Mus musculus: one gene and its partners. The protein of the gene in region 1 purifies or fractionates together with the protein of each later gene. This does not show direct contact. Links are inferred from orthologs where the notes say so. Each region holds a gene or a part of one and is shown on either strand. Other genes may lie near its edges.

The links.
Region 2: the proteins of Sart3 (region 1) and Lsm2 purify together in Homo sapiens (affinity purification with mass spectrometry; 3 studies listed by BioGRID and IntAct, counting the BioPlex papers as one, with this or other methods). This does not show direct contact. The link is inferred for Mus musculus from reciprocal best matches to the Homo sapiens genes SART3 and LSM2.
Region 3: the proteins of Sart3 (region 1) and Prpf31 purify together in Homo sapiens (affinity purification with mass spectrometry; 6 studies listed by BioGRID and IntAct, counting the BioPlex papers as one, with this or other methods). This does not show direct contact. The link is inferred for Mus musculus from reciprocal best matches to the Homo sapiens genes SART3 and PRPF31.
Region 4: the proteins of Sart3 (region 1) and Lsm8 purify together in Homo sapiens (affinity purification with mass spectrometry; 4 studies listed by BioGRID and IntAct, counting the BioPlex papers as one, with this or other methods). This does not show direct contact. The link is inferred for Mus musculus from reciprocal best matches to the Homo sapiens genes SART3 and LSM8.
Region 5: the proteins of Sart3 (region 1) and Lsm4 purify together in Homo sapiens (affinity purification with mass spectrometry; 4 studies listed by BioGRID and IntAct, counting the BioPlex papers as one, with this or other methods). This does not show direct contact. The link is inferred for Mus musculus from reciprocal best matches to the Homo sapiens genes SART3 and LSM4.
Region 6: the proteins of Sart3 (region 1) and Prpf4 purify together in Homo sapiens (affinity purification with mass spectrometry; 5 studies listed by BioGRID and IntAct, counting the BioPlex papers as one, with this or other methods). This does not show direct contact. The link is inferred for Mus musculus from reciprocal best matches to the Homo sapiens genes SART3 and PRPF4.
Region 7: the proteins of Sart3 (region 1) and Ppih purify together in Homo sapiens (affinity purification with mass spectrometry; 3 studies listed by BioGRID and IntAct, with this or other methods). This does not show direct contact. The link is inferred for Mus musculus from reciprocal best matches to the Homo sapiens genes SART3 and PPIH.

What each region holds. Positions count from the first base shown.
Region 1 is NC_000071.6:113,745,173-113,748,400, forward strand, and holds part of Sart3 (squamous cell carcinoma antigen recognized by T-cells 3), read right to left. Parts: intron 2,828-3,228; coding exon 2,751-2,827; intron 1,621-2,750; coding exon 1,452-1,620; intron 860-1,451; coding exon 408-859; intron 28-407; coding exon 1-27. UniProt on the Homo sapiens protein: U6 snRNP-binding protein that functions as a recycling factor of the splicing machinery. Promotes the initial reassembly of U4 and U6 snRNPs following their ejection from the spliceosome during its maturation.
Region 2 is NC_000083.6:34,980,456-34,984,653, forward strand, and holds the start of Lsm2 (U6 snRNA-associated Sm-like protein LSm2), read left to right. Parts: upstream 1-1,398; 5' UTR 1,399-1,627; coding exon 1,628-1,630; intron 1,631-1,674; exon of another isoform or gene 1,675-1,801; coding exon of another isoform or gene 1,802-1,912; intron 1,913-2,164; coding exon 2,165-2,232; intron 2,233-4,198. UniProt on the Homo sapiens protein: Plays a role in pre-mRNA splicing as component of the U4/U6-U5 tri-snRNP complex that is involved in spliceosome assembly, and as component of the precatalytic spliceosome (spliceosome B complex).
Region 3 is NC_000073.6:3,636,485-3,639,984, reverse strand, and holds part of Prpf31 (U4/U6 small nuclear ribonucleoprotein Prp31), read right to left. Parts: exon of another isoform or gene 3,324-3,500; coding exon 3,234-3,323; exon of another isoform or gene 1,355-3,233; coding exon 1,227-1,354; exon of another isoform or gene 1,128-1,226; coding exon 1,055-1,127; exon of another isoform or gene 410-1,054; coding exon 281-409; exon of another isoform or gene 197-280; coding exon 98-196; exon of another isoform or gene 50-97; intron 1-49. UniProt on the Homo sapiens protein: Involved in pre-mRNA splicing as component of the spliceosome. Required for the assembly of the U4/U5/U6 tri-snRNP complex, one of the building blocks of the spliceosome.
Region 4 is NC_000072.6:18,851,635-18,854,552, reverse strand, and holds the end of Lsm8 (LSM8 homolog, U6 small nuclear RNA associated), read right to left. Parts: intron 2,918-2,918; coding exon 2,790-2,917; intron 953-2,789; coding exon 862-952; 3' UTR 501-861; downstream 1-500. UniProt on the Homo sapiens protein: Plays a role in pre-mRNA splicing as component of the U4/U6-U5 tri-snRNP complex that is involved in spliceosome assembly, and as component of the precatalytic spliceosome (spliceosome B complex).
Region 5 is NC_000074.6:70,671,763-70,676,030, reverse strand, and holds the start of Lsm4 (U6 snRNA-associated Sm-like protein LSm4), read right to left. Parts: upstream 2,801-4,268; 5' UTR 2,577-2,800; coding exon 2,574-2,576; intron 1-2,573. UniProt on the Homo sapiens protein: Plays a role in pre-mRNA splicing as component of the U4/U6-U5 tri-snRNP complex that is involved in spliceosome assembly, and as component of the precatalytic spliceosome (spliceosome B complex).
Region 6 is NC_000070.6:62,407,529-62,411,582, reverse strand, and holds the start of Prpf4 (U4/U6 small nuclear ribonucleoprotein Prp4), read right to left. Parts: upstream 2,801-4,054; 5' UTR 2,709-2,800; coding exon 2,682-2,708; intron 2,009-2,681; coding exon 1,831-2,008; intron 1-1,830. UniProt on the Homo sapiens protein: Plays a role in pre-mRNA splicing as component of the U4/U6-U5 tri-snRNP complex that is involved in spliceosome assembly, and as component of the precatalytic spliceosome (spliceosome B complex).
Region 7 is NC_000070.6:119,317,724-119,321,988, forward strand, and holds the start of Ppih (peptidyl-prolyl cis-trans isomerase H), read right to left. Parts: upstream 2,801-4,265; 5' UTR 2,752-2,800; coding exon 2,686-2,751; intron 2,511-2,685; coding exon 2,446-2,510; intron 2,131-2,445; coding exon 2,107-2,130; intron 1,842-2,106; coding exon 1,797-1,841; intron 864-1,796; coding exon 821-863; intron 1-820. UniProt on the Homo sapiens protein: PPIase that catalyzes the cis-trans isomerization of proline imidic peptide bonds in oligopeptides and may therefore assist protein folding. Participates in pre-mRNA splicing.

The DNA of each region.
Region 1 (3,228 bases):
CTCCAGGGTGGTACTGTATCTGAACACCTGCAAACACAGCACAGCCCGTGGTTCAGGCAGACACGCCCCAGCATGTGCGTGTCCTGCGCAGGCACAGCTGAGCCATTCTGGTCTCAGAGACTCACGTGACAAAATCGCCTGGGCATCCCACCTCTGTAAACGGCCATCCACTGAACACAGGTGAGGGCCACTCTTGCCACCCTCTTAAGCACCCCAAGGAAAGCAGCCATCCTCCCAAATGCTACTGTGGCCACCACCAACCAAGAGGCAGCGGCTCAGAGCGACCAAGCCACGAGGCAGCCTGAGCGCCTCGCAAGGTTTGCCGCTGTCAGCCCTCATGGGCTCCAGCGCTGAGCACTGCCTATCGGGCAGCCCACCCTGAAGACCCCCTTCTTCAAAAAGCATACCTTAAAATCAGGGTTTTTGCTCTTATCCACACAGGGGGACACAAACATCGGCCTGCCCTCCACAATCTTCCTGTCCAGCTCCAGGGCCTGCTGGGCTGACTTCTCCTCTCCAAACTCCACATAGCAGTAGCCCCGGAAGTCCCCGCGGTTGCTGAAAATTGGCCTGATCTGGACCACCTCCCCACAGACCTCAAAGAGCGGCCTGAGCTTCACCTCGGGCTCTTCTATGCTGTAGGGCAGGTTGCTGACAAACACGGTGACACTGTCCTTACTGCTGTCGTGAGCCACCTTGGGCATGTCCCGCTTAAGGGAGGCTGCCTTCTCTTTCTGCTTGGAAGGAGGACCAACATCTATCGTTAAGCATTTCCCGGAGAGCTCTGTTTCTTCCTTCATAGCCGAAGCCTCTCCAGAGGCCAGACTGTTCTCCGTCCTTCTGCGTTTGGAAGGCTGCTCTGCAGGCATTCAAAAGACAAGCAGAGGCAGTTAGCCAGGTCTGCACTCCTTCAGCATCGGGCCTGCCCCACCTCATACAAACTGCACCGTCTCCACGCTCAATTCAGTGGGGCTCACTTTACACTCCAGCAAAGGTGCTGCGTCAATGAAACCAAGAACATAAACATCCACTGTCGGTCATCCCTGCACAGTCAGGTTCCCACACCCGGCAGCAGAATGCAGAGCCCCTCCCCCGCCCCCATCCCCAAGTCAGCCCTGAAGAACGGAGCTGGGAGCGGTTCTGAAGCCCGCAGGTGACTGCTCCATACATGCACTTCTCCTGCATCCTGCCAGAGGACATGGGCTGGGCTTGGATGGCCTCCACCACTGCCTCAGGGAGAAGCTACACAGGGCTCGGAAACAGAACATTCATTTTCAAGTGGGTCTTTAGCAGAGTCACTACTGAGAGAAATGGCAGCCGATGTCAGTGCTATGAAACCTGACTGAGCCAGGGCAGTGCAAGTATGCCCACTGAGAAACACAGCCACTCTCGCAGAGTTAAGAGGCTCTATGTATGGGTTGTGCCTGCACCCCACCCGAGTGCAACGGTACCTTCCTCCTCTTCGCCCCACTCGTTCTCCTCGTCCTCGTCCTCCCTGCGCTTGTCGGCACCTCGCGTTTTCTTCTTCTTTTTCAGGGCTTTCTTCTCCGCCCGCACCTTCTTCCGCTGCTCGGCCTTTTCTTCTTCCTGCTGCACAAGAGCTGCTTCCTTCTCTGCGGCCTAGGAATGAGAGGACAGGGCGTTCGTTCTGGAGGCTGTGTCCTGCTGGCTGGCTTGCTTGTAAGATAGGGTGGGAACCCTCATACAATACACAGCAAGGAGGAGACTCAATTCATATTCCTCTCAATACACGCTGCAATACTACACACCAGGAAAGAGAGGCAGGCAGTCCCAAAGCAGGGGTCTGCTGCTGTGACACAATGCTGACAAAAGCCCCAGGGAGAATGGGCTAGCCTGAGCTCACACTGCAGTCATTTACAAGTCTATAGAGGGGCTGAGGACGCAACCCTGAAAAAGCTAGTGCCATCCACTGACAAGAGAAGGAAGGAATGTCTGCGGGCTGTGCTCTGCCCATTCTTTTTATTTCATTTCAGACCCTAGCTGAGAAACAGTGCCAAGCACATTTAGGGTGGGTCTTCCCACCTCAGTTAATCAGAAGACCCCGGCCAGCTGACTAGTGTAAGCAAGCAAGAGATGTTCACGAACCACTCAGGACCTATCATGGCTCCTTTACAAACTTAACTCTTGATCAAATTCCCCAGTCTCCCCTCCAGTCCCCTTGGATGACAGCCCCACATCTCCCTCAACTGCACTGACTCTTGTCTGTCTGTCTGTCTATCTTTCTTCCCACAGAGTCCTACTGGCACCATGAGTGTATCCAGCATCCACCCAGTGGGAAGGGCAGCCTACCCTAGGCTACACCCTGGACGGAGGCTGAAGGCCCCTCCCAGGAACTGTCAATTGTCAACAGCTTCCAGGAGAGAGGCTCTGTGAGCCCTCTGAGGCTTCTGTGTGATCTAGTATGCTCAATTTCTAGGGAGTCCAAAGCTTAAGTGAAGCTACAAATGGCAAGGGGTAAGTTTAACTACTGACCAACATGCTTTTTAACTAGCATCTTAGGAAGGGGCTGGGGGGATGCTCAGTGGTTACCAGCACCAGCTTCAGAGGACCCAAGTTCAATTCCCAGCACCCATATGGCAGCTCACAACTATCCCAGGATCTGATGCCCTCTTCTGGTCACTGTGGGCATTGCCCACACATGGTGCAGACATCCACGCAGACAAAAGACTCAAAGCAGACCAAGGGGCACAGCAGTGCAGTTCCCAACCCTGGGGAAGCATCAGTGTCACCTTCATTCTCTGCTCATTCACACGAGCCAAGCGCGTCTCCGTTTTCTGAATGGCTAGATCCCAATCTTCTAAGGTCCCTGGAGAGAGAAAAGCAGAGCTCTGACACACCCACTCCTAGGCTGCAGCAGTGTTCCCTGACCCACTGCTCCAGAGCACAGAGCTCCCTTCACAACAACTGCAGTGGCTCTTGCTTTAAGACAATGCACGCCATCTTCCAAGTCTGCAATTCAAACATCCTTCTGGGTTCCTGATATGTGTCCTTCTCCTTCCAAAGACAGATTTAAAAACAAAACTCTGACTTTATAGGCTCTTGATGGTAAAGACTATAAAAACATGCCAATGCAAAGAGCACGTGAACCCGAGAGCCAGGGGAGCTACTCAAGTGTGCTGGGACTCTGTTCTCTGTCTGATCTACAGGTCTCAGCCTCACCCTAATCCAGACAGGTCCCAGGAGAGAGAAGCCCATGCTGTCTCCCAA
Region 2 (4,198 bases), on another chromosome or scaffold:
AATCTATTTAGATTATTACACTAGAGAATTCCACCCTGCAATCAGCAGGTTTAGACTCTCAGAATTTTCACCTGTGTCCCGTGACTGCCTTGCACCTACAGCCAGCCTCAAGAAGAGAAGACAGAATAGAAAGTGTTTCCCTATTTATCCAGACATGATATCCACAGAAGATACAACCTAGCAACTTCCCACTTAATGTAATTATTTAAAAAAAAAAAAACAATAGGGCTGGAGAGATGGCTCAGCAGTTAAGAGCACTGACTGCTCTTCCAGAGGTCCTAAGTTCAATTTCCAGCAAGCACAGAGTGGCTCACAATCATCTGTAGTGGGATCTGATGCCCTCTTCTGGATGTCTGAAGAAAGCCACAGCATACTTACATAAAACAAGTCAATCGAAATAACAACAAAGCCCTTTCATCTCAGACCATCTCTTTCTTCTCTGGAACTTGCCTACTGAGGCTTTTCTAGTTTTTTGTTTTTTTTTTAAATCAGTCAGCTCTTGTGAACTCCTTCACAACCAGCATGTTACAAGCCTGGTAATGCTGTTCCCAGAACATCCAAAGTAGTATCTGTCGGTGATCTAGTTGAAAATATTTCAGTAATGCAGGGATGGATCAGCAGTTACAAGCATCTGTTGCTCTTCCAGAACACCCAGATTTGATTGCCAGCACCCACAAGGAGGCTCACCATTGTAACTCCAGGCCCAGGGCATTTGAAGCCCTCTCTTCTACCAGGAACTCATGTAGTACAGACATAACATACAGGCAAAAACTGTCAAACACACACAAAAAAAGCTAAGATAAAGTAAAATATTTCTGTCACTGAGTTCCAGTCAGTTTAGTCCTTTACAGACGAGTCCTATGCCAAATTATATATATATATATAACATTAGAGCTGGGATGTTGTTCATTTGCTTTGCTTAGAATGTGTCCGCTCTGGGTCAACTTTGCACCCCAAAAGACTGAAATTGAGAGAAACTTACTTACTGGGAACCTTTGATAAGAATCAGGATTTGTGTTCCGGTTTCTCTCTCACACTCACACACACCATAACCAGTGTGTATTGGTGTATATTTTATTCTCTGACACAGGGTCTTGCTATAATAGCTTTAGTTGACCTCTAAACCAGAATCCTCCCGTCTCAACTCCAGGATTCCAGTTGGGCACGAACGCTGTCCAGCTCTTAGCAACATTTTAAATTTTACTAAAGAATACGCAAGTCATAATTTTCTCAATCTTCCCAATAATTCCCCATAGAAAACGTAGACTACGAGCTAATCACGCGGCAGAGAGAAAAGTCTCAACAACCATCAGAAAAAGAGACGAACTACGTCCAACGCGCAGCTGCCACGGCCCACGCATGCGCTTGTGAGAAAGCGGCTGCTCGGGAGGAAGTGGGGGGGACAGGAAGTTCCGCCCCTCTACCGGTTTGGCGGTCCTCTCGGCTCTGCCCTACCCCGCTCCCTTTGAGCCTGAATTCAGCCGAGGTTTTCGCGGCTCCCCGTGCGCCTGCGTGATCCAGTCTTGCTTCACGCGCGGGCTCGCGCTCCGGCTCCCGCCCTGCCTCCGGCTCGCAGTCCCCGGCGCCTTCCTTCGCGGTCCAGGCCGCCCCGCGTGGCGCCAGCACCATGGTGGGTACCGTGACGTCAAAAGGGAGCGCCGCCGCTCGCGGCGGGCGGTTCGAACCGTGCGGGCGTGGGTGCGGGCACTCGTGTCGGTCGCTTGGGGCGGCAGCCAGGCCCCAGGGTTTTCCGTACAGCCTTACTGCCCACACCCCAGTGTGAGGAGGCTGCTCGGAGCCGATGGTGTTTTGGGGGAAACCTTTAGCAAGTCCAAGAGAAAGCCCACGGGCGCCGGGGGAGAACGGGAAGCGAGCCTTGCACTTCTGTGCTGTTGACGAGGACTTTGTGAGGGTGCGGTTGGGAAGCGGTCTCAGCTGGGAGGTGGTCGACTCAGAGAGTGGGTTCTAGCGTCGAGGGGTGCAACGCAGGTCCTGTCACTCCGTGGCTCCGTGAACTGCAGAGTCCCGTTTAACGGATTGTTGTTGGTTATGAAGTTTTGAGAACTACTAGGAGGGGCTACAAAGACTAGTATTTCAAAATACTGTCACGGGCTCCTCCTCCCCGTCCCTTTTCATGTGATAGTTCCTCCCTCTTTTCCAATAGCTCTTCTACTCCTTTTTCAAGTCTCTTGTGGGCAAGGATGTAGTCGTGGAACTCAAGAATGACCTGAGGTAGGTCCTTATTTTAGCGAGTTGGTGGAAGGTGGGGGTGCCGGGTGTCCTGATCCTTTTTGTCGTTGTTGTTGACAAAGTTACTTCAGAGTAGGTAGGCAAAACACAGAAGAAATACCTTTCGTCTTAAGTGTAAAAGATTAGTTTAAGAGTGAGCCTGGTATTGTGACACATGCTTGTAATCCCAACACTGAACGCAGAGGTGTGAGTTCAAGGACAGCTTGGTCTACATATGTCCAGGGCCATCCGGAGTTACACAGTGAGATACAGTTAAGTAACATGTATGTGTAGTCCTGGCTGTCCTGGAACACACAGATCCACATGCCTCTGTCTCCTGAGTGCTAGGATTTGCCTGGCTGTATCATTTGCTCTTAACGATTCAGGAGTTGGGGTAAATGCTTAAATGCTGTACCACTGGAAATATGTTTATGGGTTCTTGTCACATCCGTTAAGGTCTACTTGGTTCCTAATAGTGCTTCGAAAATTATAGTTTCATTGAAGCCGGGTTTTGTTTGCTTTTGTTTTCTTTCATGTACTGGGCATGCTCAACAAGTGAACTTCATATGCAGCCCTCATGTTTCTCTTTAAAATAACTTTTTTTTTTTTTTCCAGACAGGGTTTTTCTGTATAGCCCTGGCTGTCTTGGAACTCACTCTGTAGACCAGGCTGGCCTCGAACTCAGAAATCCGCCTGCCTCTGTCTCCCGAGTGCTGGGATTAAAGGCGTGTGCCACCACCGCCCAGCAAAATAACTTTATTTGTAGACTCTTGAAACCTTTGAACACACATCAGTGGTTGACCAGCAGGATGGTTCTGACCAGTGTGGCCAAGTTAGAAGCTGGCCCAGACTGAGGTGCAGACTAAGACCTTTCATAGTCTAAAAGTCAAATCACACGAATGGTCTACAGAGCTGTGGGGATTCATAGGATGTAGAGAGTGAGGAAGTAAAACTCAGGATCTGAGGTGGTTAAAGTTGGTTACACAGAGGGTAAATATAATATAAGGTGGGGCATGTAAGGTGGTATGGGAGCACTGGCCTTGATAACCTTGCTTAGGGGCTAGAGGGCTGGAGAACTGAGAAGACTTGACTTGTATCTTCATTATTAAAGATAAGTTGGGGGGGATAACATTTGAAATGTAAATAAAGAAAATATCCAATTTTTTAAAAAAGAAGAAGAAGCCGGGTGTGGTGGCGCAGGCCATTAATCCCAGCACTCGGGCTACACAGAGAAACCCTGTCTCGAAAAAAAACAAAAACAAAAAAAAACCAAACAAACAAACAAAAAACTCATACGAGAAAAAAAAGAGTGTAGCAAAAATAATAAAGAGTAATTCCAGCTACCAGTATGTGTACATAGGTCTGTGACTCCAAAGCAGTAAATGTTTACAAATAACAGTTAGGGAAGCTGCAGAGATTGCTCAGTGCTTTAAAAAGAGCTTGCTGGGGGCTGGAGAAATGGCTCAGAGATTTTAAGAGCACTGACTGCTCTTCCGAAGGTCCTGAGTTCAAATCCCAGCAACCACATGGTAGCTCACAACCATCTGTAAAGAGAGCGGACATCAGACGCCCTCTTCTGTAGTGTCTGAAGACAGCTACAGTGTACTTAGATATAATAATAAATAAATCTTTAAAACAAAACAAAACTTGTTGCTCTCCCTGAAAAATAAGAGTTCAGTTTCCAGCAACTACATTAGGTGATTCACACCTACCTAGAACTCTGGCTGCAAGTGATCTGATGCCCTCTTCTGGTCTCTGTGGGTAACTACATGCACATACACACAAATAATAAAAATCAATATTTTAAAAATAATAGTTGATGCTTCTGGGAGTCATGCAGATCTGGGCTGACCTTCAGTTTATTGGTTGTAAGTTTTGTTACCTTCCATGACCTCTCTCATATCCTGGAGGATGATAATACTTTGAAAGATGATTAGCTAAGTGGTGTTGATAGCAGTGCATCCCTTAA
Region 3 (3,500 bases), on another chromosome or scaffold:
CTTACTGTGTGGTTGTGGATGCCTAAGCTCATGTGCTATATCTCAACAGATCTCCACAGCAGCCTTATCATATGCCTGGTAGAAAAGGGTATGGTACCTGGAGTGGAGTGAAGGCCACACTGGAGGCAGTCCCTGAGGAGCGGTCACGAATTGTTGACTTCCCACCATACACCACGCTCTGTTTCTGTAAGGTCCGCTGTAGGGAAAGGGGAGGCTGGGATCCAGGCTCACTGACCTCCATATCCCACCTGCCTCCCATTCTCATGGGCCCAATCCATACCTGCAGTGTCTTGGAGATCCTGGCCTTGGTGGCCTCATTCACCTGGGTCTGCCGCACACGCCCACTGCCTGACTTGCCCAAGTGGCCCAGGCTAAAGCCCAGGTCTTCCTGATAGGCATCCTCCTCAATCTGGTGAGACGAGAGCAACCTGCGGTTAAGAAGCTGGGTACATCCAGCCAGTCCCCTGAGGCAGTCACCTGAGAACCCAATCAGCCAGTCTCATGGACACCACCTCATCAGCCAGGGGACTGGCAGCATTAAGTGACCTAATAAGAGCCTACCCTATTGGCCAGAGTCCATCATCCTTAGCAGTATGTAATTAAAGCTCGCTTCACATTTGTCTCAGAAAAGAAAAAACAAAAACAAAAACAAGAGCCTATCCTACCTCTGTTTGGGTATAGCTAGGAACCCTGGGAAGAACTGGTTCCTGACCTGAGTAGAGTAGCCATTTTTTCTCTACATCCACATTAAGTTGCCAAGAATTGGGATGAGCCGCGCTACTGAGGTGGCACCTAAGCGGATTCTTTCAGGACCACCTAGATGACAGTCAGATATAGAAGCAGCCTGGAGAGCTGCGTGGGAAGCCAGCCAGCTGAGAGCTGCAAAGATCACCATGGAGAAGGTGGTTTAAGAGGAGAGGCTAGACAAGAGGGAGGAGGGTTGGGTAGCCCCAGATCTGCTCTCAGATTACAGGGTGGGGAGGAGGGATGGCAGCAGGATGTGCAGAGAGAAGACCCTAATATGGTCCCACTGGTACTGTGGATCAAGCCTGACCTCTCCAAAGCTCATGCGGTTGGCCTGCTTCCGGATCTCCGTCAGTCCTAGCCGTTCCTTCATCTTGCGGTACCTAGGGCAAGTGGGTGTTAACAGGATATAGGGAGCTGGCTGGGAAGAAGTTGTTTCCCTTCCCCACTTCCAAACGTCTAGCCCCATCAGAACTCCTTACCTTCGGCCCCCTCGCTTCTTCCGCTGCCCATCAAGGGGTGCAGGCAGGGGCTTCACCTGCTTCACGGGTGGTGGCTCCTGCCACTTATCAAATTTGCGCTCAATCTCATCCTTTAGTTCGTAGCCCACCTAGGGGGGAGTTGAGAAGCGGTGGCCAGCCATGTAAACTGTCCCCTCAGCCAACATCTATATATCATCAACCCATCTATTGTGTATCTGACCACCTGACAGTGTGCCCTCCCCAAGACATGTTCTTCACGTTTGTCCAGGAATGGTGCTCTGTGGGTTCCAGTGCCTAGTGCTCCTTGAACTTGTAGCTCAGGTTCAGTCCTCATATCTAAGCTCTGCACCCTCTGGATAATTGTCTCTGTCTGAGTCCTGGGCCAGGCAGAATCCCTGTATTCTCTAGTCAACAGACAGCGTGTCATCTCCACTGCCTTACTTCCACACCACAGATCCCCCTGGCCTCTTAGAACAGACCCCAGCTAGCCTGCTTCTCAGTGCCTCTACAGCAGCCAGAGGCCCTCAAAGGTTGTACACATTATCTGCTCCTGGAAGCAGAAGGCTCCTCTCCCTGCTGGGGTTCACTCAACTCTGGCCTCAAGATCTTTGTACTCACTATTCACTCTGTCTGGAGCACTCTTCCAAGTGGATAGCACAAGTAGCCACACGACTGACTATAACTTCACTCAAGCCCAAATTAAAACGTCCTCAGAAGTTTTTCTTCACATTCTCTGTCATCAGAGTCTAAGCTTCCTAACCCCACAGCCCCCCTGATTGCCCCTGGCATTCACAAAGCACCACTGAACCCACTACAGACTTTTCAGAACTACTGCCTAGTTGTTTTGGTCCCAGCTAGAACATAAATGCTGTGTGACACAGCAACCTCCAATCCTAGCTAGCAGCTGGAGCAGGAGGATCAAAACTCGTTCAAGGCTTTCCTGGACTAGAGATAAGACATGTCTCACAAAAGGGTGAGGGTGAGCTGAGGATGTATAGATCTTATAGATGTATGTTCAGTGGTACAGATCAGTTGTCTAGAACACGTAGAGTCCTAGGTTCAATCCCAGTATACCCACCACACACACACAAAAGCCACTGAGGCAGACCTTTGACATCTATATAACCCCCTGCTGTACTGCCTTGTTTAGAAAGTGGCAAAAGGCAAAACCAAAGACTGAACCTCTGACCTGGGCTATGATGTAATTTCTAGCAGGGAAATGCACACAGTATTGTTTCTTAAGCCCACACAGAAAAATAGATGGTATCACTGGAATCATGTCCCTGCTAGTACAGGACAGGTCCTACTATGGTAGGCAAAATACTGTCCCTTCCAACACAGGGCTACACCTTGGTGTCAGGTGTCCTGGTCTCTAGGATCTGTGACTACATTTTACATGGCAGAGGATCTTTGCACAAAAAGCCAAAGATCTGGTATCATGGCTTCTACACCAACACCTCACCTATCTCCTGAGACAGGGTCTCTCACTGGAACTTACTGATTTGGTTGCCAGGCCCACAAGCTCCAAATGCCCTCCTGCCTTCACCTTCCCAGAGCTGGGGTTAGTTACTGATGTGAAGTACTCTGCCTGCTTTCTTTTTTCCCTTAACCTGAGTTAGGAATTGAACTCAAGTTCTCATGCTTGCATGCAGGAACTGAAGTGATGGAGCCGCATCTCCAGCCCTGGGCTTTTTTTCTTTTCAAACACAGGATTTCACTATGCAGCCCAGTCTGGCCTGAAACTTATATAACCCAGACTGCCTCAAACTAATGATCTTCCCACCTCTGTCTCTCAAGTATTGATGTTAAAGAGGCCTAGCCAACTTTTATATGAAGCTACTCCATCTATAGTGAGTTGTCATAACTGATACAGAGCTGAGAATGTGATGGCCTCAGTAGGGGTTGCAGACAGACACATCTGTCTGCTAGTCAGAAGAGGTCTCTGAAGTAGCATCTTCCCATGAAAAGACCCCAAGCACCAGGGACAGATGCCTGTCCTCTCCTCACCTTCCCTTCTGTGCTCTCATGGAAGCTGTCCACACGAGCTGCCAGTGTACACTTGGCAGCCACTAGGCGGGCCGCCTTCCGCCGGAGATCCTGGAGCAATGGCAAGGAGAAAGGAAACTGAACCTCTAGAGAAGGTAACAGCCACTACAATAGTCACTCCTCATCTAGGGCAGCCATACCCCAGACTCTGGGAGGTAAGCCTCATACCCGTGGGCTCTTCTAATAACAGCCTCTTGAGGGGTACACTCTGGCTGCCCCCCAGTTTCC
Region 4 (2,918 bases), on another chromosome or scaffold:
GATGGTGCATGCCTTTAATCCTAGCACTTGGGAGGCAGAGGCAGGCGGATTTCTGAGTTCAAGGCCAGCCTGGTGTACAAAGTGAGTTCCAGGACAGCTAGGGCTACACAGAAAAACCCTGTCTTGAGAAAACAAACAAAACAAAAAAACAAAAAACAAAACAACAAAAGTTGCCTCATGGACTAAGTAATGAGAGACAGCAGAGAGCACTGCTCTTGATTTAACTAATTTCCCACATTAAACAAAAGCTCTTTGAATAGAGATATTCCTCACTCTAGTTTAAAAAAATTCAGTAGTACAATGGCATTTAACATTCACAAAATCTTCTTTCAGAAACCAAATCTTGTGACCTTAACAGGCATCTAAAAATTTAGACACAATTTTTCCAACTACTGGAGAACTGTACCACATTGGGATAAACTCTATGACAGTTACCTGTAGACGGCCATTTACTATCTGGTATTTCTAAAAAAAAAAAAAGGAAAGAAAAGAAAACCACAAAAAGAAATGTGTCTTTTATTACTATTATTTGCATTAGTATAAGTTACAATAATAGTCTAAGTTCTCTTTACAGCCAATTTCCCATAAATATTAAATTACCAAAAGTAATGGTATTTTCTAAGTTTTCAAATGATCCTTAGATTTTTGTATCATTTGGTAGAAAAATAAACCAGCCAACCACATTTATTAATTTAGGCAATGTTTCCCAATAAAAAATGTAGAAATATTTAAATTACATATTACAGTGTACCAACATGAAGTCAAACTGCACAATTACACACTCATAAAAACCCTAAACATCACTCTCAGGACAGACGCTTCTGTACAGGATTTACACACATCTCACTACACACTGAGGTCTCAGTGTGCTACGGAGTTCAGAGGCTCTGCTCGGATGTTCCCCAAGTCGAGTGCAGAATCCGTCTCTTCATCTATTTCCCCAATGACTGCTCTGTTATTAATATGAGAAAAAAGAGTCAAAACATTTCTAAAATAAATTGACATACATTTCTAAAGTCTCATTAACTACAGCATCTTGTTTCATGCTTCTTAAACATGTGGAACTGAGAAGGTGCAGCAAAAATACAAGGTAGGAAACAAAAGCCATTTCATCTCATCACTAAGTGAACTGAATTACCCATGTCATGGGACTCAAGAAGTAATGTGAAGGTAGGACAGGAACATATGTAAAGAGATACTGTGAAGAGTCTGAACATCAGCTCTTTGGAAAACTGACATCTGATCTGCAGCATTTATATGAGGCAAACAAAAGTCTCCATGGGGTAGTGGGGCTAATTGCAAGCTACTAACAAGACCCTAATCCATTTATTAGCAAAAATTCTTAAAACTGTTTTCATGGGTTCCTGAAAGCAGGCTCTAGTCCCAGCAGGTTTAGGGTAAATGTTTAATTCTGAATTATTTTTTGTACATAGACCCAGGAGGCACCGTAATCATCAGTCCACACACCCCCAGTGTTTCATCAGTACTGCTGTGGTCAGAGGACCTGGCCCTCTGCTCTGGATCACTCTTTATAACTCACGTTATAATCTAAGCCAAAAGTCATCTCCAGAGACTATTTTATAGATTGTAAACACAATTTTAATTAAGGATCAGTTGATCATATTTACCAAAATACAGTTTTCAGATAAAGTTAAGTGCCTAGAGCATGTGTTCATTTTAAAATAAGTGTACAGTATTAATAAATTAATCTTAAGCATATCCACAAAGTAAGTTCAGTGTCTCTTCCCTACATCTTACGGAGCCCTTCAAACCACCTAGTTACTAACGTCTTTTGCTGTCCTCTAGTCATATTTTGACTATTCATAGTATTTAAACTTAAATGTTAGCCACAGGAGGTAGATTACATGTATAATGCTAACACCTGGGAAGCTAAAGGAAAATGAAGTAAATCTGGGTTGGTAACAAGTTCCAGGTCAGCCTGGTTATCCTCAGAAACCAAAACCAAACAAACAAACTACATAACCCCAAAATCAATTTTTAAATTAGTTCTTTGGTCACCAGCCGCTTTTCAAACACACCACAGCTATACAAAGCAAGTAGCTGTAACAGTGGAAAATGCTGAGGCGTGAGGCTTCCCATCATTAGAAAAAGTGACTGTGAAGAGCACTGCTCGAAATGGTTACAGCCTTTCTCAAACTACACTGTCAGGGTCCTAATTCAACAAAACAATAGGTGCATCGTGGCACACATTAAGTACATCCACTACACTAAAAATAGTAACAGTTAAATGAGCGTGGACCATTTAAAATAATTCAAATGGGAGATTTTTTAAAAGATATTTTCCAAATCGTTAAGAAGCCTCTTTAAGAAATGTGATGAAAAAGCAGGGCCCTTTGTGGACATATCTGGGCACACACAATGATGGTTTAGGCTACTAGGAGGCTGCGGTTGTAGGGGAACCTAAAGTTGAAAGTCAGTCTGAGCAACTTAGGAAGGTCTGGTCTCAAGATGTAAAAAGAGAGACCGCAGCTCAGTAGTAGACTGCCTGTTCCCATGTACAAGATTCTAGGTTCAAACCCCGATTCTCAAATAAGTAAAGACACAGGAAATCTCAGTAGGCAACTGTTTGTGAGATCACTTTAGTTGACCCCTGAGGCATCTAAACATACAGCATTTAGAATTATATATAAGATAAGCTCTACCTACAAAACAAGTTAAGTGCACAATTCTATGATACATATGGCATCATGTATGTTGGAGAAACTCTCTCTTCCATAAAGCAAACATACCAGTAGCACAAATGTACTCAAAATGACTTATGTACTTACACATTGTCGCCCCTCACAATGTATAACCCCAACACCACTTGTTCTACTCCCTGTGAAGAGCTGAACACCCGCTCATGGCTTTCATCCAAAATCAAGTTAATGGTCTGGTCAAAACCTTTTAGTGTTCCC
Region 5 (4,268 bases), on another chromosome or scaffold:
TGAGATCAGCCTGGACTACATTAGACCTGTCTTCAAAATACACAAAAATCAAATTACAGCCAAGCATGCAGTGCACACATTCAATCCCTGCACTGAGAGGCAGAGGCAGGTGAATTATCTATAAGTTCCAGGCCAACTGGGTTACACAGTGAAACAAACAAACAACTACACGAGGGGCTGGAGACATGGCTCAGCAGGTGAGAGCACAGGCTGCTCTTCTGGATGACCTGGGTTCAATTCCCAGCACCCACATGGTAGCTCACACATCTATAACTCCTGTTCCAGGGGGATCCAACACACTCACAGACACATGCATGCAGGCAAAACACATGAAATAAAAATAAATCATTTTAAAAACAGAAGAAACAAACAACAAGAGCCCCAGATCCTCAGGGCCATCATGCCCAGCATGGGGACTTTGGGTCATGAGAGGACTGGGGGAGCCTACAGTACAAGGCCCTTCCCAAGAAGAGCTGAGGGGCGGGGAGGAGTTAGTGGCAGGGAAGTGAAGCTCTAGCCCACTTCCTGCAGAGGCTTCCTGGAAGGGTAGGAGGCAGAGGATGACTTTTGTGAAAATGGCTGGTGGGTGGGTGGGTGGCCTTGGTGATCAGTGACAATGGTGTCCACCCTGATCCTCAAATAAACAGCAGAAAAGAGCCACAGTATAGCATCCTATGGCTAAGCTCCAGGTAGTTGGAGCCATGGTTATCCTTGGCTACAGTGTGAGGCTAACCTGGGCTACATGAGATCCTGTTTCAATAAAGGAATAGAATAGTCAAACTCCCAAATACAAGGCACAGCAAGGGCTCAAGGGCAAACATTGCTAAACAAGAATAGAGGCACACAAAGCTCTTCCGGAACTGCTATGGCCCAGCACAGCCTGGAGGCAGCGATGGCAAGGTCCAGCCTTACTGCTCAACTTTCGTTCCTCCTGCCAGGGCCCCAGCCACCACCCAGGGTGCCCTTCCCTAGACTCTCTGCCCAATCCTGCTGAGCATGTCCCCTCCTGTGGTCAGGACCCTAATGGCCACCCTAGGCTGCCAGCCTGTTTCCAGCTCAGCAGCTGAAGCCGCTCTCTAATTATGGGTGATTAGCATCAGTCTCCCTGGCTAGACACAAGGTCAGTGTGGGCGTGGGCTCTGCTGCAGCAGGGAGGAGCAGTAAACACTTGCTGAACACGCAGGGGTGGGGACACCCAGCACAGGTGCATCCTGTCCAGTGCCACAGGTAAGAAAAGTGTGGTGTAGGGACAGGCCACCACAACCCCCCACTCCCCTACTGTGTGTGCAGTGGGAGAGAGGAATGAAAGAAGTAATTAGGAATGTCTCCCCAAAATGAAGGAAGAAAAAGCTCAGAGTGAAATGGGCCAGGGCAGACAGGGAGGCTGGAGCTGGGATAGTCACAGGCTTTTGAGTGGAGGAGACATAGCTTTACACAGAGCAGCTGCAGGTGTTATAGCCACCCGTTCTGGAATCCAGTCCCAGCACCTCCCATTAGAGGAGCCAGTTCCAGGAAGGGAAATTCCTTCTCAGCCATCATCCAGACTCTCTGGGATCCAGTGTGTAGATGAGATAGCTAAAGAACCAAGTCTAGGGCTCTGAGTTCAGGAATGTTCAGCTGGGACACTCCTGTACCAGCCTGACCGCAGAGATATGGGAGTGTCTGTGCGCACCTGCATGAGGTGGGTGTCCAGTCCTGGACGCACCTGGCCATCCCTTCAGGAAGGCTCAGGGTACACCCAGTGGGGAGTGCTTACCTAGCATGTGTTAGGCCTAGAGTTCCTGCACCACAAAACCCAGGGTCATTCTGGAGTAAAGGCAGGGTCAGGAGTTCACAGTGATGCATGTATACAAATGGAGTTCAAAGGCAGCCTGGGCTATATGAGACCCTGCCTCACATCCTGACTCAAATGTGGAGTATACACGTGTCCTTTCCATACTCCAGTGACTGAAGCAAGAGGATCAGGAGTTTGAGGTTAGCCTGGATTATGTCAGTTCAGATCAGAAAGCCTAACCAAAAAACAAACCAAATATCCTACCATCAAGAACTGGGGAGATGGGAATATGTGGCTCTCCTCACTTAGGCCAACGCGCCCCTCGACAGAGCAGGGGGAAACCTGGCCTCCTTTACTTGTTTATGCCAGGTCTAAGAGTCCCCAAACTGAGGAGGCCTGAGCCTAAACTAGGAGAAAAAAAAAATCCTTTCTTCCTGAGCAAGACATGCTGTGTGTCCCAGGGAGAGAATCAACCCGCTCTCTGAGCTGGATTTCCAGCCAAAGGCGTGGGCAGCTGAGGTCAGACACCAGATAAGCATCAAGAGGGCAACGAAGCCCACGTGAGCCATTAAGCCCGCCCATTTCCCGGAAACGCAGCTTTCCTATCAATGACGGTGACAAGCCCCGGAAACGATCATAGTCCCTCTTCCGGTCGCAAAAACCGTGTCCATCAAGAGATAAATCCCCAACGGTGACCGTCTGGGGCCCTGGAGGGACACCGGTCACTCCGGCCTCAGTTTCCCCCATCTCTCAGCAGCCCGAAGACCCTGCGCGCGCCCCTCCGCCTCGCGGCCCTCACCATCTTCCCTGCAGCGATAACTTCCGCCGCGGCACAGACACACGCGCTCCCACCGGCGGCCCACCGCGCGCCCCAGACTGAAAAAGACTGGCAGAAACTATGACCAATCAGCGAGCAGCTCAACGGACATCTATCCAATCGGGACGGGCTAGGGCGGTACCTACGGAACAAGACGGACGGCCTCACCGTATTTCTACGGTGGGATTGAGAGGTAGCCGTAAAGTGCGACACTAGAACGACGCAAAAGGCCGCAGCACAAGTTACGCCCACTACGGGGTGTATGTTGGGAAAGGGCGCCTGCGCAGAGGTGCTCTCCTGGATCTGGTTCGGCGCCTAATTCGGCGCCACACTGTGGGCGAAGCTGGCTAATGCATGCGAGTCGCGCGGTGCCTATTTTGCGCTCCTAGCCTTTCATTCTTTGTTTTGTTTTGTTTTGTTTTCGAGACATTGCTTCTCTGTGTAGCTCTGGCTGTTCCTGGAACTCACTCTAGACCAGGCTGGCCTCGAACTCAGAAATCCGCCTGCCTCTGCCCACCAAGTGCTGGGATTAAAGGCGTGCGCCACCACTGCCCAGCTCTAGCCTTCCATTCTTGCCCTTATGGATCTCTTTGTCTTTACCAACTCAAATAGAATCTTTGAACACGAACGGCAGGTCTGGCGTTCCCTGGCGACAGGAAGTGAAAACAAATCTCTGGGATTTTCCTGTTTTGAGATGGGCTTCTGTGGCAGCTGAAGCTAGCCGATCATGAACTTGCATTAGACCCCGACTCGGCTTCTCCACTGCTGGATGGCCACTGTGGGCCATCAAGCTTTAATCCTTGCTTTAAAAAAAATCATTATCATTTTGGGAGGAACATAGTGTTTCTCTGTACATCCCTAGCTGGCCTTGAACACACAATGTAGACCAGGCTGGTATCGACCTTCCAGAGATCCTAGTGAGTGCTGGGATTGCAGGTGTGCACCACCATGGTTTAATGTGTCTTCTTGAGCTACAAATTCAGGTTCTCATGCTTGCCCAGTAGGGGTGCCAAAGAATGATATTCCGGACTCAAATAGTATGAAAACTCAAAGAGTGTCTTATTATGCAGAAGTTGAGCATGCTGGAGTCTCGAATTACCAAAATAGACACCCATGTTAACTTGGAGGTTTGATTTAAAGCACATTAGGAAATTCCGGGGCAGGTGACCTCTATGTTAATCTGTGAGGTCCATCTCTATGGACGTTCCATGGCAGGGCTGCGGGGGCTGGAAACTTACTGGGGAGGTCTGGAAACTGTTGCTTACCCATTGTCCTTGCCTCAGGCCAGGTGGTGGGGCAGCTTCTGAGGCCTGGACTTGTCTGGAATTGGCCAGTTCTTGGAAACAGATTTAGGCCACCTCTCCTTAACTGCCAGTTTGAAGCTTGTCATGAAGTCAGCCTAGCCTTCTCATCAGGAAGCATTTTTACCCATGGAGCCATCTCCTAGCCCTTCTATTTATTTTTATTTTCTTTGGCTACTGGTTATGGAATCAGAGCTCCACCCTGAGCTGTCCCAAGCAGGACAGCTGTTTGACCAAGCTGCTGAAAGGCCCTGGTACAGAATGTTAGCGATGAGTTCACTTGTTGGGATCCTCTGACCCGGGAGACTCCCTTGGCACACTCCCCAGGGCTCTTCTAAGTGATGGAGTGAGACTCCCGCACTAAGACTGCAGCTCA
Region 6 (4,054 bases), on another chromosome or scaffold:
CTCACAGAGACTTCAGCAATATCGAAGGGTCCCTGCTGGGCTGCACCATGTATCTTTGCTGCAGCCTTGGTGCTGAGCATGTGCAATTCTGTAATGTACTTATTGTCTGCCATGCCATATGACACTAAGGAACACCACACGCAAAGTGGCTCAGAGGCCATTACATCTGATGAATTGCAATGTCTTCACTGTACAAAGTTATAAGGAAAACATTTAATTTCCTCAGCATCAAATATCAAATAGTTTTATCTTTGGACTATACCGTGTTAAAATATTTGTTTATTTAGAATTGCTGTTTGGACGATGGGGAGAAGCTCAGTGTATGCCTGTTAAGTTCAGCACAATATCTGAGTTGCTAACTAAAAAAAAAAAAAAGAAAGAAAGAAAGAATCAAAGTATTATGAAAAATATTCAAAATGCCCTGACTTACAATATTAAAATTTCAGTTAACATTTAATTCTCTATCAATAAACAAGTATGTCCATCTTATTAATACTGAAATTTGTTTTGGTCTTTAAGAGCTGAAAAGTTGTAAGCATATGCAAGAACTGTATCTAATCTATCTTACTTTTTATAGCTTACCATTTTCAATTCTCAGCTTATTAAATGATAGCAAACACATAAACCCAAGTGATGCTTTAAACTGAGGGCAGGAGGGCCAGGCCACCTCTTCCATTTATTTCACTATCTCTTTCTATAGCTTAGAACATTTCTTATTTGGAAAGCCCAACTCCTACCTGCTAAAACAGTACCCCCAGGAGAGCATTCACACACAGTGAGAGGAAATAATGACCAGGAAAAACAGGATTCCTCTGACAACAAGGTAAGTCTTTTTGGATACTATGGCGATTAGTTTTAAAACCCACAACCCCTCGCCCCTCCTAACCCCCAGTGAGACAGGCTTGAAGACATTTAAGAATAGTATATGTGTACAGGGAAAAAGTGTGCACATTTAAATACTTATAATAACTAAGTTAAACTAGGCAGGTAGTGGTTTTTATTCTTTTTTATGCTTTTATTCTCAGCACTCTGGAGACAGGGGCAGGAGAACCTCTGAGTTGGAGGCCAGCCAGCTTGGCCCATGGCTACACTGAGAAACCCTGTCTTGAAAAACAGAAACAAAAAGGAAAACACAAAGAAAAACCCTAGAAAAGTAAAGGAAAGAATTCTATAAACAGTTATAAACCAATGCCAGAACTAGGTTACATCTCCCAAAGACAAATCCACTCAAGAAGTCTACAGAGACCACGAGTCATTCCTGCAAGGAACTGTAGAGAATACAAGAAATCCACTCACTGGATGATGTCAAGCAGGTAAAGTCACAGGCTCAAAGGTGAAAACAGAAGGGTAAGGTTGCACGCGTTTGCAAGTATGTCTTCCCAACATTTCATTCTAAGTAGGTACCACCACATTGACTTTTTTTTTTTTTTTTTTTAGAAAAAGGAAAAACAAGCCAGTAAAAAAACATGGGTTCTGGGGCTCAGTCTCAGGTCCTAATGGTCACAGAGAAAAGCTTTTGGCACCTGAACTAGCTCCCCAGACCAATAGAAGGTTTTGGCCTATAAACCTAATACTATGTGGTTTGGGAAGGTGTTCATCAGAATATTGAATCATCAAAAGTACATGGTGGCGACCAGGAAGGAGGCAGGAGGAGTTTGAGGTCAAAGGTAAGAGACTGTGGGGGGTGGGGGGAGATGGAAATGTATGGCTCAGTGGCAGAACAGTTGCCTAGCATGCAAAAAAAAAAAAAAAAAAACCCGGGTTGGATTCCCAGCACTGTTTAAAAAAGGGTGTGTGTGTGGGGGTAATGACCTGCAATTTGCATCTTACCGGATGTTATATTAATATTTCCTGCTTCAATGCCGGCTTTGAGTCCTTCTTTTCCCAAAATCCCAGACTCTCCTTTGGCCAGGCGTTCCCGCTCTTTCTCTTCCAAGCTTCCATAGTAGATGTGTGGTTTCTTCACAACGGGAGCAACTAAATCGTCAGGCGCTTTGGTTTTGGTTGTCTGTTAAATCAAAGACCCGGACTAAGGTTTAGTTCCAGCAAACCATGCTTCCCAAAAGAATGAAGCTAACGCTGCACTTTCATCTTCTTTCCTCTCAAAACTAGAGGAGAAAGTCGAAACTGACTTTGTGCGAGTTAAGGCTCTTGTTAAGTTTGGCACACAAATACGACCAATCAATTTCTGCCTGAAGTGTCTTGGTTGTTTTGGGGCCCGTTACTTTAATCGACTGGAAAAGCAATCTCCGGTTTTACGAAAATAACTTCTCACTGCTGGGCAGACACTAAAAACAACCTAAACAATCAGGGTGGCTCTAGGTGCACCAAGTCACGATGTGACTGGAATACACATTTCAAATACTTTCAGAGCCGATTACAAGTTGGGAAGCCTCATCATAGTAAGTACGAGTCGGACAGCTTAAGTCAGGACACAACCCGATTCCAAAGCACCGTGTTTTGGAGCAGCCAGAAAGAGTGGTCTCTGCTCAGGACTTAAGTAAGAGCAGTGCAAAGAGAGCTGCAGCACACGAAGACATCAGGAAAAGGCTACTAAGGTCCACACTAGGGTCCCTCAGCTTTCCTCCTCCTCGGCCCAGACCCGTAAGGTAACGGCCCTTTCCCACGGGAACCCCCGGCCTCTCTAGGGCAGGCCTGAGCTTAGATCCAGAGCTCCGTACCGTGGAGGAGGCTCGTGAGGAGGCCATGCCGGGCGGCGGAGACGCGAGGCCCTAGCCAAATCCGCGTTCTACTTTTCAGACCGGGAACCGCGCGCCTAGCAAAGTGGAAGTGCGTCACTGGCCGGAAACGTATCAGAAACGTACTACGTGCGAAGTATCTTGGGAATGGTAGTTGCCAAAGGTCGGCTGGAGTCGAGGGGCGTGGCCTTACAGAGCTACACAACCTCGCGGGAGAAGAGGAGCATGGGAAGAGAGGCGCAGAGCAGCCTGGGAGGTGTAGTTTGGGCTGCGCAGCAATGGAGTCATGGTGGGAGTTGAGGTTCTGGGGAACTGCAGAGGCCTGAAAAGAGGTAGGTTTGCGGATCGCAACCATAATCTGGAACAAAACGAGGGTCTCTGTTATCCTTCGGGAGGCCTTCCGCCATTTCGAAGCTGAGGCCTGTGTTGCCATGGAAATCTCTCCCTAGACTTCTGCAGCCTTGGAGCTGGGAAAGAGGACTGTTGTCCACGACGGAAGTCCTTCGGGGGCCCCTCGTAACTCGGTGGCTACGTAATCAGTTTGGGCTTCAAGAAGATATTAAACTCTAAGACCTTCTAAGGCTAAAATAGAGATGTGGTGGAGGAGCTGCGGCCTAGTTTGTTGTGGGTTTACTTGTCTACAGCCTATTCTTTGTCTGTGTTCTTTGAAATAAAGGGTCCATGAAGGCTCCAGATAAAGAGCATATCAGCAGTAGTAGCTCCAATGAATGTTAGGCCATCAGAGATAAGGTTTTTTTTAAAAAAAAAATCCTTACATGAAAGTTGTGGGGGTTACAAAAATATGCGCGTTTGCCGAGCTGAACAGACTCACTTCCACACTCAAGGCCCTGCCCCGAACAACTCCAATTAGAAGAGCACTTCCTTTTCGAGGACTTACTAATGCCGAGTTACGCGCAACGAGCTTATTCTGTTTTAGTCATCTCAGTCACGGACAAGAGTACAAGCCCGAAAAAAACCAAAAAACATTCTGGTGAGAAAAGGTCGTTCTGGAGCCGTAGTAGTAGAATTAGTAACGTGGCAGGTCGCGAGCCGCCGAGCCGCGCTTTTAACTCGTACTCATTATTGCTCTCTAGTGGTGAGGCTTTCAGAAAGTTCCCTCGCAAGTAGGGAATTATTGTTGTTGTTGTTGTTTTTCTAAGTGTTTCTTCCTTTCCCCCTTGGAGCTGACTTCCATTTCTCTACGTAAGGATCTGGTAGAAAGTAGTATCTGATAGAATAAAGCAGTTTTGAAATGTCACGGGCCAGTGTTTTGATTAGATCACCCCTTGCTGTGCTAAGCCTCCTGAGAGAAGTGTAAATGTTTCCTATACATTGTAGTGTTTTGTTTCGTTCTG
Region 7 (4,265 bases), on another chromosome or scaffold:
CTAAAGCCTGCCATTGCAACCCTGTGTAGGAGGAAGACCTCTAAAGACTCACAAAAATCTAACTAAATTTACAACTGATGGAGTAAGACCATCTCTCAGACAAAAGGACTTAGTAACACACCCACATAAACAATGCTAACAGCAAGGAGACAGCATGCACAGAGGTGGATGGGTAAGGAAAGAGCTGGTTTAAGAAAGAGATATTCTAGCTTATTGGACACACTCCAAGGAAGGATGGAGACACCAACAGTCATGGTCTTTTTGTGAAGAATGGATCTGCTGGGCTACCTCAGCAAGCAAGCGAACACCCTTTAAACTTCCTGTCTCTCCTGATCTGATCCCTTGCTTGCTAACCAGCTTGTGATTAATACCTTAGCTTTCAAAAGGAAAAGAGAAAGAAAGACCGGCCCCTAACCCCCCCCAGAGCAATCCAACAAAAAACTAGAGTTTTTAGACAGTGACAGAAGATGTGCAGATGTGGAAGGAAAAATGGGAGACAAAAGCAGTCAGCTCCCTTCCTTTTGAGGGAAAAATTGCAGTCAATTTCAAAGTTTTCTGTGAACAATGAATGTGGACCGTCTCAGATCACCTATAGGTATGCCAGCAAAGCCCAGTTTCTAGTTACAAACAGCTAGGGTTTGGAAAGTGGAAGTTTATGGTTCAGTAGAGTATTGTTATGTGTTCTAAGGACACAGTCAGTGGTAGCCAGCAACTCTACAGTACATCCCATGCCCTCTCCACTTAACTTAGCTATTGCTCTTAAGTCTCAAGACTAGGGCCCTGCCAGAAAAAAATAACAAAGAAAAGAAGCAGTACTTACATTAACAAAATCTCCACCCTGAATCATGAAATCCTTTATGACCCTGAAACAGTTAAAAAAAAAATCCTGAGAAAAGATTCAGTGGATTAATCACTGAAGCTTAGAAAAGGGCGAGCAAGTACAGTCTTAACTCAGTTGATCTTAGATGCGTGAGTTCGCACCTGAACATCAGGAAGGGGCTGAAACCAGGCTAGAATCACCAACAGTCACCAAAGGAAAAAATCATGTCCAGGGCTTATTGCAATTTGGGGGAAAAGAACAACAGCAAATCTAGGTGAATGGACTACTGCACACACAGAGACTTGATGGTGTTAGCTAGTACACCAGCTATGGCCCTTCGCTTTGCTTAGCCTTCCTTGAAGAACTCGGAAAACACATACTACTTCACAAGAATGCTAGGGAGGGTTACAGACTGTAGCTTTAAAGCCCTTATGTGGGAGACATGGACATTTTCAGGATTAGAATAGAGCAACTTCTGTCAAACTCTAACAAAAAATAAGTAAATATATCATGAAAGCCAGGCTCCTACAGATGACTGCCTAGCAACGGTAACTAGCAAAGCCTCTGCTGAAGTCCTGACTGGCGCCAGGGAGATGGGTCAGTGGGTGAAGTGCTTGCTGTGGCAGCCTAAGGATCTGAGCTTAGACCTCTGGGAGCACGTGGCCACGCACCTGTACTGAACAGGTACTGAAAGGGTACAGCATGCTTTCCTTGGCATCGTTTCTGCAATACAGCATTCCACCAAGTCAGGGATGACTTAAGGCGCTGTGCATAGGCTTCATGGTGTTCAGTACCAAATCCAGGGCCTTATGAATGCTGGGCCAATTCTCTACCACCGAGCTACAGCCTCAGCCGCGAACATGCCATTTAAAACAACAGCCGTAAGCCTCACAGAGTTTGAACTCAGGTGTGCAGGACTGCCTGTACAGATACCAAGCAATGACTGCATTTCCAGTTTTCCAAAAACCTCCCTTACCTGTGGAAGGTGCTTCCTTTGTATCCTATCGGAACGCCATCTTTTCTGTAAACAAAGAAGGAAGAGACTTGGAATGGGGAAACACAATGGTGGGCCTTTCCCATTTAGGCTACACCAGAGGCTAAAAGGGCTCTCACTAAGATCTGGAGGGGGAAAAAGAGAGAGAAAGAACCCATTCAAGGTGTCACCCTCTCTCTGCATATCATCTTCCATTACTTAAGACCTGTTCATGGTTCTCCAATACCCTCACCAAACATCCAGGGCACCCCTTCAGGAGTAGGCAGAGAAATCAAACACATCTGAGACTGACCTGAACTCTCCGGTGCAGAATTGCCTAAAGGGAAAGAGAGAGCAAACGATTTAGCCTTCGTACGATCACTGCTTGAAGCACCTCTAATCTCTGGAGAGGAGAGTTCAAACACTGGGGCCAGTATGTCCGCCAACTAACTGATCGGGCGGATGTCAGGGCAGGTAGACTAGTGATAGAAGTTGATATGGGATCAGTCACAGCCGGTAGCTGTTTGGCCAGTGAAATACCCAGACCACAGAGCTGCAAGGCAATGAATAGATGGACAGAGGCAGACATGGCAAAGACCGACTGGAGGCCGGCTTCGGGCTCAGCTCTGGTTCACTTGGAGCATATCCTTACCTAAAGTTCTCTGCCGTCTTAGGCACCACGTCTGCAAAGAGCTCGATTTTCATGCGACCAACTTCCTGCAGAAGAAACGGGAGACGCAACACTCAGCTCACGACCGCTGTCCACGAAGCTCGAAAGCTCCCACCTCCCTCCGCCGCCTGGCCCAGCCGGTCTCGGGAGGGCTATAAGGGGCTGCCTCCCTTACCCGAGGCCAACCAGCCCGCACGGGCCGCTAGGTCGCCCGCACCTCACCTGGCCGCCAATGCTGACATCGAAGAAGACCACTGGATTGACTGGACTTGAATTTGCCACCGCCATGGCTTTGACCCGGAAGTAGAAACCCGGCTTCCGGTGGCAGGTCCCGCGAACTTCATCCGGAGCGCAGACGCAGTGGAAACGGACCGCGATTGCGCCCCGCCCCGGAAGTGTGGCGCGCGCTGAGGTTGTTGGGAATGGTACTGTTTGGCTGAGCTGGTCGGAGCTGAGGGGAGGAAACGCAGGCATCTTTGTCAAAGTCTGTGGGCTCCCCACTTGCATGACTGTATTAGTGCAATAGAAATGAATCTTCTGCAGACAGCATGTCCTGAGCAGTCACACTTGGTGTCCCCTGTCACAGCTCATGAGCCGAGGATCCCTGAGTCACCTTCCATATTTTAAAATGGTTTGTTACTGTAGCCTGGCTCAGTCGGGTGCTGGAAATGTAATTTTATTTATTTTCTTATGATTGTAAAATTTTTTATTTTTTAATTCACATTTACATCCCCAGTGCTGCCGCCTCTCCCGGTTTCCCCACCCCCTCCTTCTCTTCTCCTCTGAGAGGGTAGAGACCCCCTCTGGTTTTCCCTCCACCTTAGCACATCAAGTCTCTGCAGGGCTGGCCTCATCCTCTCCCACTGAGTCCAGACAAGCAGAAGAAACGAATTCCACAGCAGGGCAACAGCTTTTGGGATAGCCCCTACTCCAGTTGTTCGGGACCCACATGAAAGACCGTGTGTGTGTGGGAGGGGGCTAGGTCCCGCCTGTCTATGCTCTTTGGTTGGTGGTTCAGTCTCTGAGAGCCCCAAGGGTCATAGTTGACTCTTGGTTTTCCTGTGGAGTTCCAATCCCCTCGGAGGCCCTCAGGAGTCCTCAAGCTCCATCGGATGTTTGGCTGTGGTCTCTGCATCCCTGAGTCAGCTCCTGGGTGGAGTCTCTCAGGACAGCCATGCGAGGTTCCTGTCTGCAAGCACAACAGTCTCAGGGATTGTTGTTTGCCCATGGGATGGGTCTCTAGGCTAGTAAATCGTATGGGGCTTTGCCTATTTAAAATGCTGTTTGCCACTGCTGGTAGCAAAGACCAGGAAGTAAAGGCTGGCTTCTCTTATACCACTTTTACCAAGTACCCTTCTGCCTCTGTTTTGGAGGGCATTCAGTTGCTACCCCCCCCCCCTCTTTTCCTTCTCTCATGCTTGCTCCGGCCCAAAGATACTTATATGTAAGTACACTATACTTGTCTTCAGACACCCCAGAAGAGGGCGTGGTTGCTGGGATTTGATCTCAGGACCTTCGGAAGAGCAGTCAGTGCTCTTACCCACTGAGCCATCTCTCCAGCCCTGGTTGTTACACCCTTTAAGGTTTTTTGGTTTTTGTTTTGTTTTGTTTTTGCTTTTGGTTTTTTGAGACAGGGTTTCTCTGTATTGCCCTGGCTGTCCTGGAACTCACTCTGTAGACCAGGCTGTCCTCGAACTCAGAAATCTGCCTACCTCTGCCTCCCAAGTGCTGGGATTAAAGGCATGCACCACCACTGCCCAGCTTAAGGTCTTTTTTGAAACATTTTTTCACTTTTTTTTTTA